Rattus norvegicus: one gene and its partners. The protein of the gene in region 2 interacts with the protein of the main gene of each other region in a pairwise test. Links are inferred from orthologs where the notes say so. Each region holds a gene or a part of one and is shown on either strand. Other genes may lie near its edges.

What was found.
Region 1: the proteins of Ccdc136 (region 2) and Leng1 interact in binary tests that used the Homo sapiens proteins (3 or more experiments, as listed by UniProt). The two-hybrid records come from large-scale screens. The link is inferred for Rattus norvegicus from reciprocal best matches to the Homo sapiens genes CCDC136 and LENG1.
Region 3: the proteins of Ccdc136 (region 2) and Fam107a interact in binary tests that used the Homo sapiens proteins (3 or more experiments, as listed by UniProt). The two-hybrid records come from large-scale screens. The link is inferred for Rattus norvegicus from reciprocal best matches to the Homo sapiens genes CCDC136 and FAM107A.

The regions. Positions count from the first base shown.
Region 1 is NC_086019.1:74,465,674-74,470,882, forward strand, and holds the start of Leng1 (leukocyte receptor cluster member 1), read left to right. Parts: upstream 1-1,669; 5' UTR 1,670-1,709; coding exon 1,710-1,841; intron 1,842-3,080; coding exon 3,081-3,260; intron 3,261-3,931; coding exon 3,932-4,182; intron 4,183-5,209. Other genes in the region: Tmc4 (transmembrane channel-like protein 4), read left to right, coding at 1-43, 136-291, 952-1,030, 1,135-1,203.
Region 2 is NC_086022.1:58,961,359-58,966,597, reverse strand, and holds the start of Ccdc136 (coiled-coil domain-containing protein 136), read right to left. Parts: upstream 3,403-5,239; 5' UTR 3,306-3,402; coding exon 3,248-3,305; intron 2,500-3,247; coding exon 2,392-2,499; intron 754-2,391; coding exon 499-753; intron 415-498; coding exon 340-414; intron 1-339. UniProt on the Homo sapiens protein: May play a role in acrosome formation in spermatogenesis and in fertilization.
Region 3 is NC_086033.1:19,044,747-19,050,120, reverse strand, and holds the start of Fam107a (actin-associated protein FAM107A), read right to left. Parts: upstream 3,541-5,374; 5' UTR 3,492-3,540; exon of another isoform or gene 3,340-3,491; intron 1-3,339. UniProt on the Homo sapiens protein: Stress-inducible actin-binding protein that plays a role in synaptic and cognitive functions by modulating actin filamentous (F-actin) dynamics. Mediates polymerization of globular actin to F-actin. Also binds to, stabilizes and bundles F-actin.

The sequences.
Region 1 (5,209 bases), on a different chromosome or scaffold from region 2:
GTCTGGCAATCTCTGCTGTCCCTGTGCTTTACAGTATCTTCCTGTAAGTATGAGAGACGTCTGTTTCTCTTTGCGTTCACCCACGGTATTCACTGTGGCCCTAATTGATTGAATCCAATGTGTCTCCTCCTACAGGATCCCACCTTCTAAGCTGTGTGGCCCATTCCAAGGGAAGTTGTCCATTTGGGCCCAGATCCCTGAGTCCATTGAGAGCCTCCCTCAGACTGCCCAGAATTTTCTCTACTTTCTGGGAACCCAGGCTTTTACTGTACCCCTTCTGATCGTCTCTAGGTGAGCGGTCAGAGTTTGAATGTGTGCGATTTAGTGTTTGAAAGAGAAAGGAGTAGGGTGCGGGGCACCTGAGTGTTAGAGAGGACTGGATGCCTATGTACAACAGAGGAGAAGTTGGGCTGGCCTGGATGCCTAGATCAAGAGCAGGAGAGTTGCAGTACGAATGCATAGGATCTAAGAAAAGACATCTGGGTTTGGACTCCTGGGTCTGAGGAAGAAGGGCTAGGGTATGGATTTATGGATTTGATGAAGGGGGAGGTGGTATGGAACCTGAACCTCTGGTTTAAGCAAAATCCCCAGACCCATCCAAAGGGTCTGTACTCTTGGGTCTGAGATGAGAGGATAAAGGGTGGCATTCAGAGTCTCAAGAAGGGTTTTAAGGGATTTGGGAATCCTGATAGTGATTTCTTTAATTTACTTATTCATTTAGTTTTATGTGTGTTGGTATTTGGACACATATGTCTGTGTGAAGTAACGAACTTGAGTTACAATCGTAAGCTGCCATGTGGCTGTTGGGTGCTGGGCGTTGAACCTGGGACCTTTGGAAGTGCATCTAATGTGCGGGTTACGAGCCATCTCTCCAGCCTCCTGATCCTGGTTTCTAAGGAGCCATATGATGAAGATGATTTCTAGAGTGATTTTCATTCCTGTTTTCTTTAGCATCCTGATGATGTATACAGTAGCCCTGGCTAACTGTTATGGACGCCTCATCTCTGAGCTCAAACGCCAGATAGAGACGGTGAGCTAGGCTGATTTCCCCAGGCAGGGCTCTCTCTATGAGAAGATGAAAGGGGAACACTGGTGAGGAGGTGTGCTTCACTTTCACTCTTTTTTTGCCCACAGGAAGTACAAAATAAAGTCTTCCTAGCCCAGCGAGCTGTAGCTCTGAGCTCAAGGAATGGAGTTTCCTGATTAGTCTGGCTGGACCTTCAGCCCCTCACACCCATCATAAACTTCATTGACTTCATATACCAAGCAGTGGGGCCCTCTCATCTCTGGAATCAAACCCCACGCCTTCTGCCACCGAATGCCACACTCTCAATTGAACCATGTTAATAAACAATAGCCAAGTCCATTAAGCGTTTTGAAACCCCGTTCTGGTGGCGTGGACGAGGTTTGGGGAGGGGCCAGGTCCATGACGGCTTGAAGGGCTTGGTTGTGTCTGCATAAAGGGATAGACAGGCAAGGCAGATCTTCGCCAGCCTCTTCCTGCAGCGACCGGTCAGGTTACAAATGCTTAGGATTGGCTGAGATGGAAAGCTTCTCAGCCAATCATCTCTAACAAAGGTTTAGGGGGGTGTGGCAATTGGCCCAGAACCAATGCACGGGCTAGGGTGGAACCATGGGGCGGGAGCATCCTCGAGCCAATCGGAAGTGCTGAAGAGTGGGCCTGACAGTCGGAGGTCGGCTTTGGAGCCATGAATATCTTACCCAAGAAGAGCTGGCACGTCCGGAACAAGGACAATGTCGCTCGCGTGCGACGCGACGAGGCCCAGGCCCGGGAGGAGGAGAAGGAGCGTGAGCGGAGGGTGCTGCTCGCTCAGCAAGAGGTAAGCCTGGGGCAGGCCCAGAAGCGCGGCCGGCCTGCCTATCACTTGGTGTCAGGTGCGGCTCGGTGTGTTTGGCGTGTTCGGCGATGTTTCTCTGAAAATCCTGTGCTAACTTCCATAAAACCTTCCTAGATTTCCCCACCGGCGTTGAAGGGGCCATAGGCTAGCACACAGGAAGAGTTGGACAAATATTCTGATTACTTTATAGGTTGCCCGCACAAGTTAATACTGATCACCCACTGTGTGTATGCTCCCTTCAGAGCTCTTGATTTGAGAAATTCCTCTTAGAACATTTTAGAGGGGTGCAGTCACCTTGCTTTGAGTGCCACGGCTTCAGCAAGAGAGCGAAGGACATCTGGAAGCATTATTTGAAACAGGGTCTCTGTTGCTGTACTGGAACTGGCTGTGTACACTAGGCTGGTCTCGAGCTCAGAGATCCGCTTGCCTGTGCCACCTGAACGCTGGTATTGAAGTACACTCACGCATTAACACAGACTTTAATAGTTACTCGATCAGTTTGGTTTACCCTTAAGTTCTTTGCCAATCTGATCATGAATTAGTGTGGGCCTTTAAAATTTTAAAAAAAAAAAAAAGGTGAAGCTTGTAATTACGCCCAGATACTAAGGCTACAGAGAGGGGAGTATTGTGAATTGGAGACTATCCTGAGCAATTCAGACTCTATCTGGAGTCGGTTTGTATTTGGAATGGTGACCTGGAGCCATGCCTTGGGTTCAGATCCTTTGTCCAGAAAGCAATGTTTGGCTACAAGTTTGGGAATATGCACATACTTGTGCTGGGGACTGAACTTCGAACTATACACACTAAGCAGGGGCTCTATAGCTGAACAAGCCACCTCTACCCTATTACTCCAGGCTGGAAAGTCTTCTGTTTTAGGCCAGAGGTCTTCTCCCACCTATCTCTGATAGCCCAGTTTACTGTTTAAAAACAATGGTTCTCCACCCAAAGTTAGAAGTGGTGTCTTTTTTGGCTCCCAATACCTCCATTCCCCCATCTCTTTTTTTCCTTTGATTTTTCAAGACAGGGTTTCTCTGTGTCGTTCTGGAACTAACTAACTCACTCTATAGAACAGGCTCACCTTGAATTCAGAAATCCCCCTGCCTCTGCCACCAGAGTGCTGGGATCAAAGATGTGTGCTACCACTGCCCTCCCTGCCCATGGACCCTTCTTATATCCTCAGCACTTCTGGACTCAGAATGTACTGCCTATAACCCTTCATAGGCCCGTACGGAATTCCTACGGAAGAAAGCCAGGGGCCGAAACTCACTGCCCGAGCTGGAAGCAGCAGACCAGGGAGCTCCATGTTCTGGCCCTGTGGACCTGTTTCGGGAGCTGCTGGAAGAAGGAAAAGGAGTGCCCAGAGGCAATAAAGAGCATGAGGAAGAGAAACGACAGGAAAAAGTAAGCTGGCCTCATTTGTTGGTGGAATCCTGGGGGGATGGGTGGGTGGGGTAGAGACTGGCTGTGACTGTTAGGATATGGTGATAGATGAGTGCATAGAAAATTTAGCAGTGAGAGGTATCACCTACAAGCTGGTTATTGCTATACAACACTTAAACTGGCTAAACCTTTTTCATGGGACTAAAGAAAGTCTTAAGCTATTTTATTTTGAGAGGAGATCACAACTACATAGACCAGGGTGCCTTCCAGTTTTTAATCCCCCTGTCTTGGCCCCCTGGGCCAAGTGTTGGGATCACAGGCACAAACCTCCAGACAGCAATTGTGCTTTTTAAACTATGACTTGTACTGTGGCTCTCCTACACCTCACCCAACTTTGAAGGTGCTGTCTCCCACTGAAAATCACTCCTCTGCTTGGCTTTTCTGTGGACTGTTCCCAAATTAAGCTTCTTCCATCTTCCATTACTGCACAGGCCACTGCATTCCTTTTCTTCCTCCTGCAAATAAGCTCCTGATGCTTTGCAAAGCTGGTTCCTGAACGTTCTTGTAATTTCCCTTGTTAAATGTCTGCCTACCAATCCGTCTCTAGAAACTCAGGCGCTGGGTTTTTCTATTGCCACACCTAGGGCTCCCAGAGGGACTGAAAAGACTATTTTGTTTTCTTGCCCCTGCAGGAGAGACAAGAGAAAGCACTAGGTATTCTGACATACTTGGGCCAAAGTGCAGCAGAGGCCCAAACTCAACCTCCCTGGTACCAGCTACCCCCAGGGCAAAAAGGCTGCCCTCCAGGCCCAAGCCCAGATGAGAAGATCAAAAATCGACTGGACCCCTTGAGGGAGATGCAGAAGCACCTGGGCAAGAAAAGGCACAGCAGCGAAAGCCATCCTTCCAGAGAGGAACGGCCTCCAAAACAACGGCCCAGAGAGTAAGAATAAACATGGCCCACAGTAGAGCAGAGTGAGACTTTGTGAAGATCTAGCACACCAGCCAGGGTACCACAGAAAGGCTAAACAGGTCAGGCAAGATGAAGTGGTTCTTGGTATGCTGTCTAGGGACCTCTGTGGAGACACTTAAGGATTCTAAGAACAGTAGCTTGTATACAGCATATATATATTTTTTAATGTGTATTTTAATGAGTACTTGTTACATGTCTATGTACCACGTAATTGCCGATGCCTTTAGACTAGAAGGCATTGGGGTCCCCTGAAACTGAATACAGTTGCATTGAGAATCACCATATAGGTTGCTGGGAATGAAACCCAAGTCGCAAAGAACAGCCAGTACTCTTAACCACTGAACCATCTCTCCAGCCCTTCAGTTTTTCCTTTGGGACAGGATATCACTATGTCACTCTGTCTGGCCTTTGCTTCCCAAGTGATCTTTGTGGCCCTCAGGTTTATGGTTTGTTTTTAGAGTTTCAATGTTACACTGGCTGTCCTAGATCTATGTAAAAACCAGGCTGGTCTCGTACTCAGAGATCCATCTCTGCCTCCTGCTTCGATTAGAATGTGGCCCAATCACATTCAGCTCTTCTTTTATTAAGAGCTTTTTATGAAACCTTCATTGCCACAGTAGAAGGCACCCTGACAGTAAAGAGCCTATTTGACTTTGGTTCTCAGGTTTTTGTGTTTTTGAGACAGGGTTTCTTTGTGTAGCCCTGGATGTCTTGGAACTTGCTCTATAGACCAGGCTAGCCTCAAACTTGGGAGATTCACCTGTCTCCACCTGGAGTGCTGGGATTAAAGGTGTGTACCACCACTGCCAGACAAAGATTTATTTTTATTTTATGTGCATTAGTATTTTGCCTGCTGGTGTGTTGGTGCCAGGTCCCTTGGAACTGGAGTCACAATTTTGAGCCGATGGGTGCTAGGATTGAGCTCAGCCACCAATCCTCACTTTTTGAGACTGAAGTTTTAAGAATTATTGGGGTTAGAGAACAAAAACACATTATT
Region 2 (5,239 bases):
TGGTCTTGGGTTCTATCAGAGAGCAACCTGAGCAAACCAGGGGAAGCAAGCCAGTAAGTAACATCCCTCCATGGCCTCTGTATCAGCTCCTGCTTCCTGACCTGCTTAAGTTCCGGTCCTGACTTCCTTTGGTGATGAACAGCAACACAGAAGTGTAAGCTGAATAAACCCTTTCCTCCCCAACTTACTTCTTGGTCCTGATGTTTGTGCAGGACTAGAAACCCTGACTAAGACAGAAGGGGCAAGGAAATAAAGAAAAGGAGAGAGGTAAGGTTCTGAGTTAGGTTTGTTTGACTAGCGTGGCCACTTCCCCTCTGTCTAGACTTGGGGGGCAGTTACCTTGGAGCTGCTGGATCTGTTTGGTGAATACTTCGGCCTGCTGGGCACTGGCCAGCCGCTCATCCTCCAGGAGCCCTGCAGTGAGAGGAACGTCTGGTTTGGAACCGGGGATACACACACCCTTTGGGCCCAAGACCCTGCCCTGTCACGGGTGCTCACCCTGAAGCTCCAGGCAGTCATCCTCATGCTGCCCAGCAAGCTCACGGGTCTCCTCCAGCTCTGCCACCAGCTGGAGCACCTGAGCCCTCAGCTCCTCCAGCTCTGTCTCTGTGAGGCTCAGGCCCCGATGCTTGCCCACTGACAGGGAGCCCAAACTGCCTTCTTTCTGTACTTGATCTTCTTCTTCAACCTCTTCCTCTTCTTCCTCTTCTTCCTCCTCCTCCTCCTCATACAGAGCTGGAAGTAACACCTCCCCTAGGAGAGACAATCATCCCACCACACAGTCAGTACCTGTTCCAGAACCCTGCACCTGGAGTGGTAACCCCAGGCCCTGGACAGCAGAATAGTGCCACCTGGTGTCCCCCCCCCCCCCGAGGTTCCCTGGGATAGGACCTAACTCATGGTCAGGCTCTGGTGGGTCAAATTTGGATGCACCTTTTCCAGCTTCCTGACACCTAATATTGACTATCTACTGCCTTTACAGCAGCCTCATGCAGGCTCAGCTACAAGAAGCTTGCTTGAGGACACCTAGCACTGGTCGTCTCAACTCTGAGTAGTGGGACAAGGAGTTTAGAAAGGATTCAGACATTCAGACACCAGCTGTTTATTTAGGCCAAATGGAGCAAGCTTGGGAGGAAAAAAAAAATCTAGGTGGCTTGCAAGGTATTAGAGCCTTTTCATAATAAGAAAACACCGGCCTGGCCTGTAGGTAGCAAAGGAAACATTAGGCGGAAATGACTTGGTGGAACCCTTTCAAATGTATGTTATCAAATATCTTCTTGAAATTTTCTACACCCGATGTTTCCGTGTTGGGTGCCACAAGGTTCATCCCTTGCCTGCTGACCAAAGTTGATTTTCAGAGTAAGTGTCAGGCTGAACTCGTGTATGAAAGAAAGTCAGCCATCTTAACACATTCTTCTAAATTACTCATTTATTTATTTAATGCATACAGGTGCCTGTGTGTGTGTCTGTCCCTGCGTGTGTGTCTGTCCATCATGTGAGTGCAGCGCCCTTGCAGGTCAGAAGAGAGTATTAGAGCCTCTAAGACTGGAGTCACAGACAACTGTGGGCTGCGATGTGGGTGCTGGGAACTGGTCAACTGCTAAGCCATCTCTCCACTCCTGCTGACACATTTGAAAAACTGATACTGGTCTTCATGTTCAGGCTCGTGAACACTTTTTTTTTTTTAACTGCAATGCAGTTCCTGTAAATAGCAACATCTTGTCTTGGTAGGGATTGCTTTGTTTTTAAATTCTAGATGTCTGGTCTTCCCTTTTCTAATGCCAACAGCACACAGTTAATCTGAGATCCCTTATGCGATCTAAGTCTCTAGGGAAGGCCTGTGCTGAACTATACAGGGGCCTGGGGACACTTCACAAGAAGACCTGGATACTGGGTTGGTACCACCTGCCCTGCTACACAGGAGTGCTGCTGGGAAATAGGCTTCATCGAGCTCTCTCCTAAGCACTTTCTTACTAAAGCTGCAGAGCTCTGTTCAGAGTTGACAGTGGCGGCATCGAAAAGACAGTTCACATGTCCATGTCCTGGCTTTTAAAATAAGAGACAGCTTGGGATCTGGGTCAACAGGCAGGGAGAAGAACAAGCCCCCTGCCGAAAGCCTGTTTCCAGGCTGGCTTCAGCAGGACCTCTTTCTGTCTGGCGGCTCCCCCAGGACACACAACCTGGTTAGCTGGGTGATTGGAGCCCCAAAGGGATGAGCCCAAACTTCCATCAATGCCTGAACCCAGGGGAGGCTTGGAGCTCAGCCACCAGGAAGGAGGGGCTTGAAATGAAGTAAGGGAAGGGCCCTGTCCTGGCTCAGAGCTCTGGGGTCAGGAAGGAAGGAGGAAGGGAGTTATGGAGTGATGGAAAAGCCTTTTTCAGAAAACTCACCCTCCATAGCTTGCATCCCGCGGCGCTCCAGGGACCCCCAGCGTTGGCCTTTCTTCCTCTCACAACCCTCAGATACCTCATAAGAGCCTAAAGTAGTTACTGTGGGTCCTGTGAGCAGGGAGAAAGTAGGCACTGTAGGTTTCGAGGGGAAAGAAAGGGACCTGCGTTCTTATATGGGAGCCCCGAAATTTGTCATCACACTGGAGAAGCCTGACTCACTCTGCCCAGCTCTGTGATTCTATTCCCTTAGCCACCTCCCATGCTCTGCCTATGGAGAAGACCCCAGCCCGGAGCTACCTAACATCAGCACCCCTGTTCCAGGCTGTTTCCGGCTCCTCTCCCTCGCCCAGACAGAAGAGGGTGAGTGTTTAGCTTGGGGCACAAGGAGAAGAGGGATAGGGTGGGAACTAGGAAAGAAGGTTTTGGGAGGGTCCTTTATAGCAAAGCAGAGTAGGGAGGGGCGGCCGGACCAGGAGAGAAGAGAGGGGGCTCTAAACTAGGCCGTTTCCTCAATCTCTCCCCTCCCCTCCTCTCCCTCACCAGACCTCGCCCACCCCACCCTCTCACGGTAGTCAAGAGCTTTGATGAACTAGAAGGGTGCAGGTTCTAGAGACAATCCCCTCGCCCCCCTCGTGAGCTGGAAGCACTGTTGGGCTGGAGAGACTGGATGGGGAGCGCTTGGGGAGTGACCGCTGGGAAGAGACATCCCAGGTCGAAAGATGGAGAGCAGTATCCGGTATCCGGTGGAGGCCAGGGTGGAGGAAGCCGACTCAGTACCAGGAGAACCTGGGGGTCAGAAGGAAGGAGAGACGTTGGGGGAAAGAGCATAGGGAGCTGAGGGAGAGGCGGCTCTGACCTGGGCCAGGGCAGCTCCAGCCCGCGGCTCCCGCGCCGGCCCCGCCGCCTGCCTCCATGGCCGCTCCCGTCGCTGCCGCCGCCTCCCGAGCAGAAGCCGCAGCCTCCGGGCCGGGGACCGGGAGCCCGGTGCGCAACGAAGAGAGAGGGCGGGCCGAGAGGGCGGGGCCTGGCCTGGCCACCTGACGCGAGTGCCCGCCTGCGGCCGCCCGGAAACCCTCCCCAGTGCCGGCTCCCAGACCCATCGGGGACCTGCAAAAGAGTCTCAGAGCAAGCACCCAAGTGCCCCAGGCTCGCCCGAGGCAGCTTCAGGTCTGCTGCGCCTGCAAAGCAGGCGTGGGCTACTGGATCTTGAAGATGCTCCCAAGGAGTGCTAGGATGGCTTGGTTCTGGCTGCAGAACCCACCCTGGGTCAGCCGTGCGTGGGGACCTCTCTGCGCTGGGGTATCAGGGCCTGGTCTTGCCGGGTGATAGAAGCCGGGGAGTTTTGGGTAGAGGGGTGGGGTGTTGAATAGACTGTTTCATGCAGATGCGCAGACACGCGCGCACACTTCCTTGGTCTCCAGGCTGGGCCAGCATCTCCATCCCGGCAGTCTACAGAGCCCATCCCCTCCGGGTGGCCTCGCGCACCCCAGAGCTATTGCAGAGCTGGCGGGTAGGGAAATTGAGACCTGGATGTGCCAACTACCAGGCGGCACATCACTGCTTTCCCCCGAATTCCCACCAAGCCAGAGGCCAAGGATCCACCCAGACTGTCTCTAAGTGTACCAAGATCGTCCTTTGAGCCACGCCCTCTGTGACCTGTGCCGTGTGAGCACCACTGATGTTCCCTGTAACAGGAGATATGGGAAACCATATCTTTTCATCTTTTCATCTATTTATTCAAGAGATGAACTTGATCTTGAGGCAGATCTGACATCTCAGGAGGAATGGGCTCCCCGAGTCCTAATCGTGGGGAGATTTCTAAACTGGGTACTCACACCAGTTCTTTCTCTTGTAGTCTCACTCCTAAAGTTTGGACCTGGATTGGCCTTGTTCGAACTCCCCAAGCTGCAAGGCTCTTAAGACTCCATGTTCCACAGGAATGAAGCACTTCTTTGCCTGCTGCACATGTCTAGTTTTTCAGTAATTTCAGCCTCGGGTTGAGAGTTACTCTCCAGACACGCCATCCCTTCCTTATTAGACACCCCTGTTATGCTCTTCTGACCCTCTGGGCAGCATCAGAGTACTGGCTGCCGTTAAGATTGGGAAGTACCCTAGCTATCTTTGTATCTTTTTTTTTTCTTTCCTTCGGAGCTGGGGACCTGGGGACCGAACCCAGGGCCTTGCGCTTCCTAGGCAAGCGCTCTACCACTGAGCTAAATCCCCAACCCCCTTTAAAATGTGTAGCCCAGGCTAGCCTCGAACTCGTGATCCTCCTGCCTCTGCCTCCTTCAGCAAATCCTACCGGTGTGCGCCACCACAACCGGCCATCTTTGTATCTTTATTATCAAAGTATCTGACTCTTGGAATAAATGAGTTGACATGAACCTTCCAACTACATTAATAATGCCTTCCTCATTAATCACAGATTTTAACTCATGGATTTAAACTCATGTTCCTATTAACAATGATGCCTGCCAGGCAGTGACGGCACACACTTTAATCCCAGCACCTGGGAGTCAGGGGCAGGCGGAGCTCTATGATTTCGAGACCAGTCTGGTCTACAGAGTGAGTTCTAGGACAGCAAGGGCTACACAGAGAAACCCTGTCTCTAAAAACAAAACAAAACAAAAAAAGTCCAAAAATTAGAAGAAGTCAATAGTAAGTCCCACCCCCACCCCCAGCCTGATGATCAGAGAAATGAATGATTGTTCATTTTCACCAGAGGACAAGACCTATGGCTATAGTGATCCAGCCATAGAGAAGAGCTGCCAAGCAAGCCTATTGTTTTGCAGATCATCCAGCCAGACTTGGATAGCAAGATACAATGTTTAGAGATGATGAAATGGGC
Region 3 (5,374 bases), on a different chromosome or scaffold from region 2:
CCAGTCACTACAAGCAGGTCTGGTTGAGGGCATTCTTCTTAGGTCTTTAACCCAGACATCCTCCTCTAGAGAACTGTGGGACAGTGAAAGACACCCTGGTTCTCAGTTGAGGAGATTTGAACCCTGGAGACCCTGAAAGGGCCAGTAGGCGCTTTGCCTGACTCCCAGGAAACCAGGCTGGTCACTGGCCCGCAGCCCTTCATAGATCTGTGACCATCTGTCACATAAGGGAAACACCCCAAGCTCCTTCACAGGTAGAGGACATGACCATAGGTCAAGTAGGCTCAAGACAGATCTCCATTATAATGAGATACCTAAAGGTCTGGAGACTTAGCCAATGAACTTTCCTTCCAGAAACTCTTCCCTGAAAAAGATATTTAATCCCAGGCCCACTCTGAGAAGTGGAGTACAATTTTTCTCATTCCCTATCCACCATCACAATAAATGCCTTGAAACCATGGACTACCTCTTCTTATGGGATCCACGGTGGCAAGCCATTGAGAATCCCTTCGCCTACAGAGCCAGTCACCTAATCTCCCATAGAAGACTTTCCTGCCCTCCCAGCTTCAGCCCTCTACCAAGCCCAAGCCTGATACCCAGGACAGCCAAAGACTTCCCAGCAGGACCAGTTGGAGCATCCCCCCTCCTTTTCCCCCTCTGCCCCTGGCTAGATCGGCCCCCACTCTGTTTCTGCAGCATCCCAGCGGTGCCTGGATGCCCAAGAGCCTAAGAACTGAAGGCTGCAGCGTCCTGTCCTCAGACGGTGCTTCCCTACCCTGGAGCAGTGTCCCGCAGCTTCCCACAGTCTAACACCCACCTGACGGGTCAAACTTCCCGAATCCTGCCTCCCAGAGCAGCCTGAGCCCTGTGACAGAGCAGAAGGACAGAAGTAGGCCCCCTACTCAATCCTACAGAGAATCATGGTGACTGAGGAGGTTCTGTTGGGCACAGAGCTCTGGGACCAGAAGGTTTTGGCTAAATGAGTGGTCTGTATGTCTCTAAGAGGGTCGAAGGGTCACAGGGATAAGAATACAGAAGAGAGACCGGGGCCTCTCATTCTTCACAGGTTCTGTTGGTAACCCAAAAGGTCCCAGGGTTCCTTCCTAAAGACTGAGTCTGGTTCTGGGTGTGCACAGACTGGTGGGAACAGTAGCTTCGATAGCAATCCCTGGTCTTTCCTGGGCAGTGAGGAGAGAGCCGGAGGAGAATGATACTCTTGCTACAGGGTGAAGTTTACACTGAGAACAGCTGCAGGAACCTGGTTACTGCACAAGATCCTTTCATCCCCCTCCCCTTTTTAGGAGGGTTTCACATATCCCCAGTTGGCCTCAAACTTGTTACATAGCCAAGGGTGACCTTGAACTCTTGATTGGCCTGCTTCCACCTCCCAAGGGCTAACACTATAGGCATAGCCACCATGTCCCATTTATGGGGTATCATCGATCCATCTCAGGGCTTTGTGCATGCTGGGTAAGTTCTTGACCAACTGGGCTGAATCCTTATGGTCTTCTTGTCACTTTCTGACTGCATTCCCTCTATCTTCAATGTTCTTATTGTGTTTCTGGTCTATCAGTTACAACACATGACACTGGGTCCACAAAGTGTTCAGGGATTAAAGCAAAAGAAACAATGTAACACATGATCTTAGCTTGTGTGGCCTCAAGCAAACAGCTCCTGCGCTCTCAGCCTCTGACCAGTGGAGATCATGGCCACCTCCCGTCCCCTCAGGTCATTAGAATGTGAGACCTTGTGGTGTGCACACTGTAGTTTGTAGACTACCTGGCTGAGTAGGCAGACTGTGAACCTCTTTCTTGTCCTGCATGTTTTGGAGTGAGCACGGGACTTGGTCTGACTCTCATGATTATCTTGAAGGCAACTCATTTTGTAGTTGAAGAAATCAGGGCTTATCAAGCTAAGGTACACGCCAAGTACTTAGCAAAGCCAGGATTGTTGGACTCCAAACCTAGTACTCTTTCTACCATAGAACTGTCTCCTAGGAATGGCATGTTTTTGACTCAACAGAACCAATTTACAGCCCTTTGCTCTCTCTCTCTCTGTATACTCAATAAACCCCTGTGAAGAGGAAGGCTGAGAACATGATGGCCAGAGAACCAGACAGTGAGAAACGCAAGCACTGCCCTGCTGCTTGAAGCAGCTTTTTCCTGTCAGGCCTGTGGCCAGGTTTCAACCCCCAGTTCCTCTAAACCTTTCTGGTTCAGCATCAGCAGGGGGGCTTTGAGAAGCACTGGCAAGAGAAGGAGAAACATTCAGAAAAATGACAAGCTGGCTGCCACATGTCCTGCTTGCTCTCTCCTCCCTGTGGGTGGTATGCATTTGTAGCTCAATGGCTGGCCAGTAACCTAAGAACGCATTTGGCAACAGCTCTAGGTCTCCCTGCAGACTCAGGTCAATCTTCTTCGTCTTGGAGCCACCTATCCATTTAGGCAAGAAGGCTCCAGACTACTTCAGGTCTTGGTCCCCTGGATCCGTTTCACCAGAGAAAAGAAAGGTTGGATTTGAAGGGTGAGGCCTATAGGGTCCATAGCAAGGCTGGGGATTGTGCCCTGCTGTTGAGCAGGAAGCAGCGTGAGTGGATGTCCCATACTGCTATCCTTGTGATCTGATGACAGCTGTTGCACCTGGCAGCTGGCTCAGGGAAAAATCACAGCAGGGGTTGCCAGACTTCACAGTGAGGAAGCCATCAGGACCCAAGCACCCAGAAACCCATGTGTGTGGGAGGACTGTTTCAAATTTAGAGCCCATCCCACTAATAGCAGCTTCCTAGTGACAGGCAATCCCCTGATCCCTGGATCCCTGATTTCTCTAGTCCCAGACTGGCCGTGTACCACGTGATGAAGCCAAGTCCATCGGCAAGGCGGGAATCACCCATAGCCTGCATTCTCAGTACAGGCTGAGTAATGAGCTATTCGTCTAGTTTCCGACTCAAAACTCTCAATAAACTGAGAAGGTGGGCAACCCCTTCTTAGGAACAGACCTCAGAGACGTCGTCTGATTTCTCCAGATCACATAGCCAGTGTGTGAGGTAGCCAGAATCCGAGCTGAGCTTTGGTACCCAAATCCAAGTTCTGTGCTTTTCTCATTGCATATAGAACCTGGACTATCTGCCGATTGTGTCTATCTGTCCTCTATTAAGTGAACCCTCCTTGCTGACCCTACATACCCCTACTGTGTGATGATGGATTTAAGAGAGGCTGTAGCAGATGTTAAATTCCTCTCAGTGTTTAGAAGTAAAAGGTCAACCAGACTGCCGGGTTGTAACTGAGAGCCTACTTAACCCTCTATCTCCCACCCCCACTTCACATCCCTGCCTCTTCTCACCTCAGTAAGGCAGGGTCCCAGTACCTACATTTTGAAGGGCTTAGTTGCTGGGACAGCTTGCTCCGATGCTCTTAGGTCATCTCCTTCCCACCACCTTCTCCTAGAACACACTCAGCCTAACAGATGTGAAGCAGAATAGATCAGAGTCTTACTTCTCTACAGGTCCGGGGCTGTGAGCTCCTTGGCAGTGTCTGGGCTGCGAGGTCCTCTGCAGGTTTCAGACTTAGGGAGTGCTAAGCCAGTCCCAGATGGCTGAGGCAGCCACCCCCAAAGGGCGGGCCTTAAACCCCCAAGATGGGAGGCAGTTTTGCATTCCCATTTATTCTGATAGCAATGAAAAAGAACTGTTGCTATAGAAACCGTTATTTTACTTGGTGAGTGGCCGTGTCCGAGACTCAGAACACCATGTCCAAGCCACCCTGATTGAGAGGCACCAATAAATACCCGTGTTGTCAGATTGATGAGGAATATGACTCACACCAAGCTTTGTTCTGAACAAGGCGGCTCCTGGCTTCTGAGGAGGAATTTCCCTTGTTTGTATGGGAGGGAATTCCAGCACTTCCCCAAAGGAGGGGAGGGGAACCACGCTTCCTGCTGCAGTGAGGGATTCTTTAGAACTTGGCTCTTGGATACTAGCAGGGAGAGAACTATACCCAGACAGTTCTTGGCAGCCCTGCAGGCTTAGGTGTAAGAAACATTGTGAAGTGAAGTGGTCATCTACAAATGTGTTGGGCACATGGACAGCCAGAGCATTTGGGAGGCAGAAGGAGGTAGATCTCTGTGTTCAAGGCCAGCATGGTCTACAGAGAGAGAGAGTTCCAGGATAGCCAGGACTACACAGAGAAACCCTATCTCAAACAAACAAACAAACAAACAAACAAACAAACTTCACACAATTAATTTCCACAGAAGAACCAGCAGGATGTAGTCCAGGAAAAGGGCAGCGGATAGATTTGTACCTAGCCCACTCTGATCCTAGTCCCTTCTGTACTTTGGCTTTCCTGTGTGTGTTGGCTGCGCGTGACCTCAATGAGATGGTGTTCATTAAAGCAGCCTTCAGAGAACTGTCATGTGCTAAAGGCAGAGCCCCAATGTGCATGCCTGTGCCTGGCCACAATGAGAGTGTGCGCAAAGAGAAGCTGTGGGCTTGGGCAGAACCCCAAAGCCAATCTAGGTGCTTGTAGATCAAAGGCCTTCTCTGCACCTCTGAACTAGCTACTGCTCGAGCCTTGGGCCATTCTGTCGTTTGGCATTATTCTCTGTCCCCCAACTGAGGAAACCAGCCTCTGCCAGTGAGACTAGGCCTGTACCCCAGTTTACTTTCTCATGGAACTTTGGTCGGTCAAGAGCGATGAGGTTCAGGTCACACACATCACAGGTAGGCAGACATATTCCACACGCAGTTTGAGTTCATTTTGGCCCTAGGATCTGTTCATGTAGTCAATATCTAATATGTATGTGTATATTTCCTGGCATGTTCTAAGTGGGCGTATGATGGGAAAGCAACAGAGAGAGACAGTACCCCTGTTCTCAGGGGATCCACATTCAGTGTGTGTGTGTGTGTGTGTGTGTGTGTGTGTGTGTGTGTGTGTGTGTGTGTGTGTGTGGTGTGCATGTGTGTGTAGTGTGTGTGTGTGACAGTAGATAAAAAGACATACAAGAAAATGTCAACCAGTGATGTATGACTGTAGAAAGGCTGAGTAAGGAAGGGCAGTGACTGGAAGCTTGGGAAAGGTGGGCGCAGACAAGGAGTCATTGCTTATGTGGGACAAATGTTTAGGGTGAGCACAGCTAGTGTCAAGGCTCTGGAGTGGGAATGAACTGGGAATGATAGAGGGAGGCCAGTAGAGCCAAGGTGGGGAAGGACGGAGATGGTGGAAGGGCCTGAGAAAGGGAGATGCAGGAGGGACCACTCTGAAGCCACAGAAACTTAAGAGCCACCCATTCTTGGGCATGAGAAATGCTCTAGGAATAACGTGTAGTACTCTATGTCTATTGCTCCCAAGTCTGCCTTTCTGGAAATCCCTGGAATAGT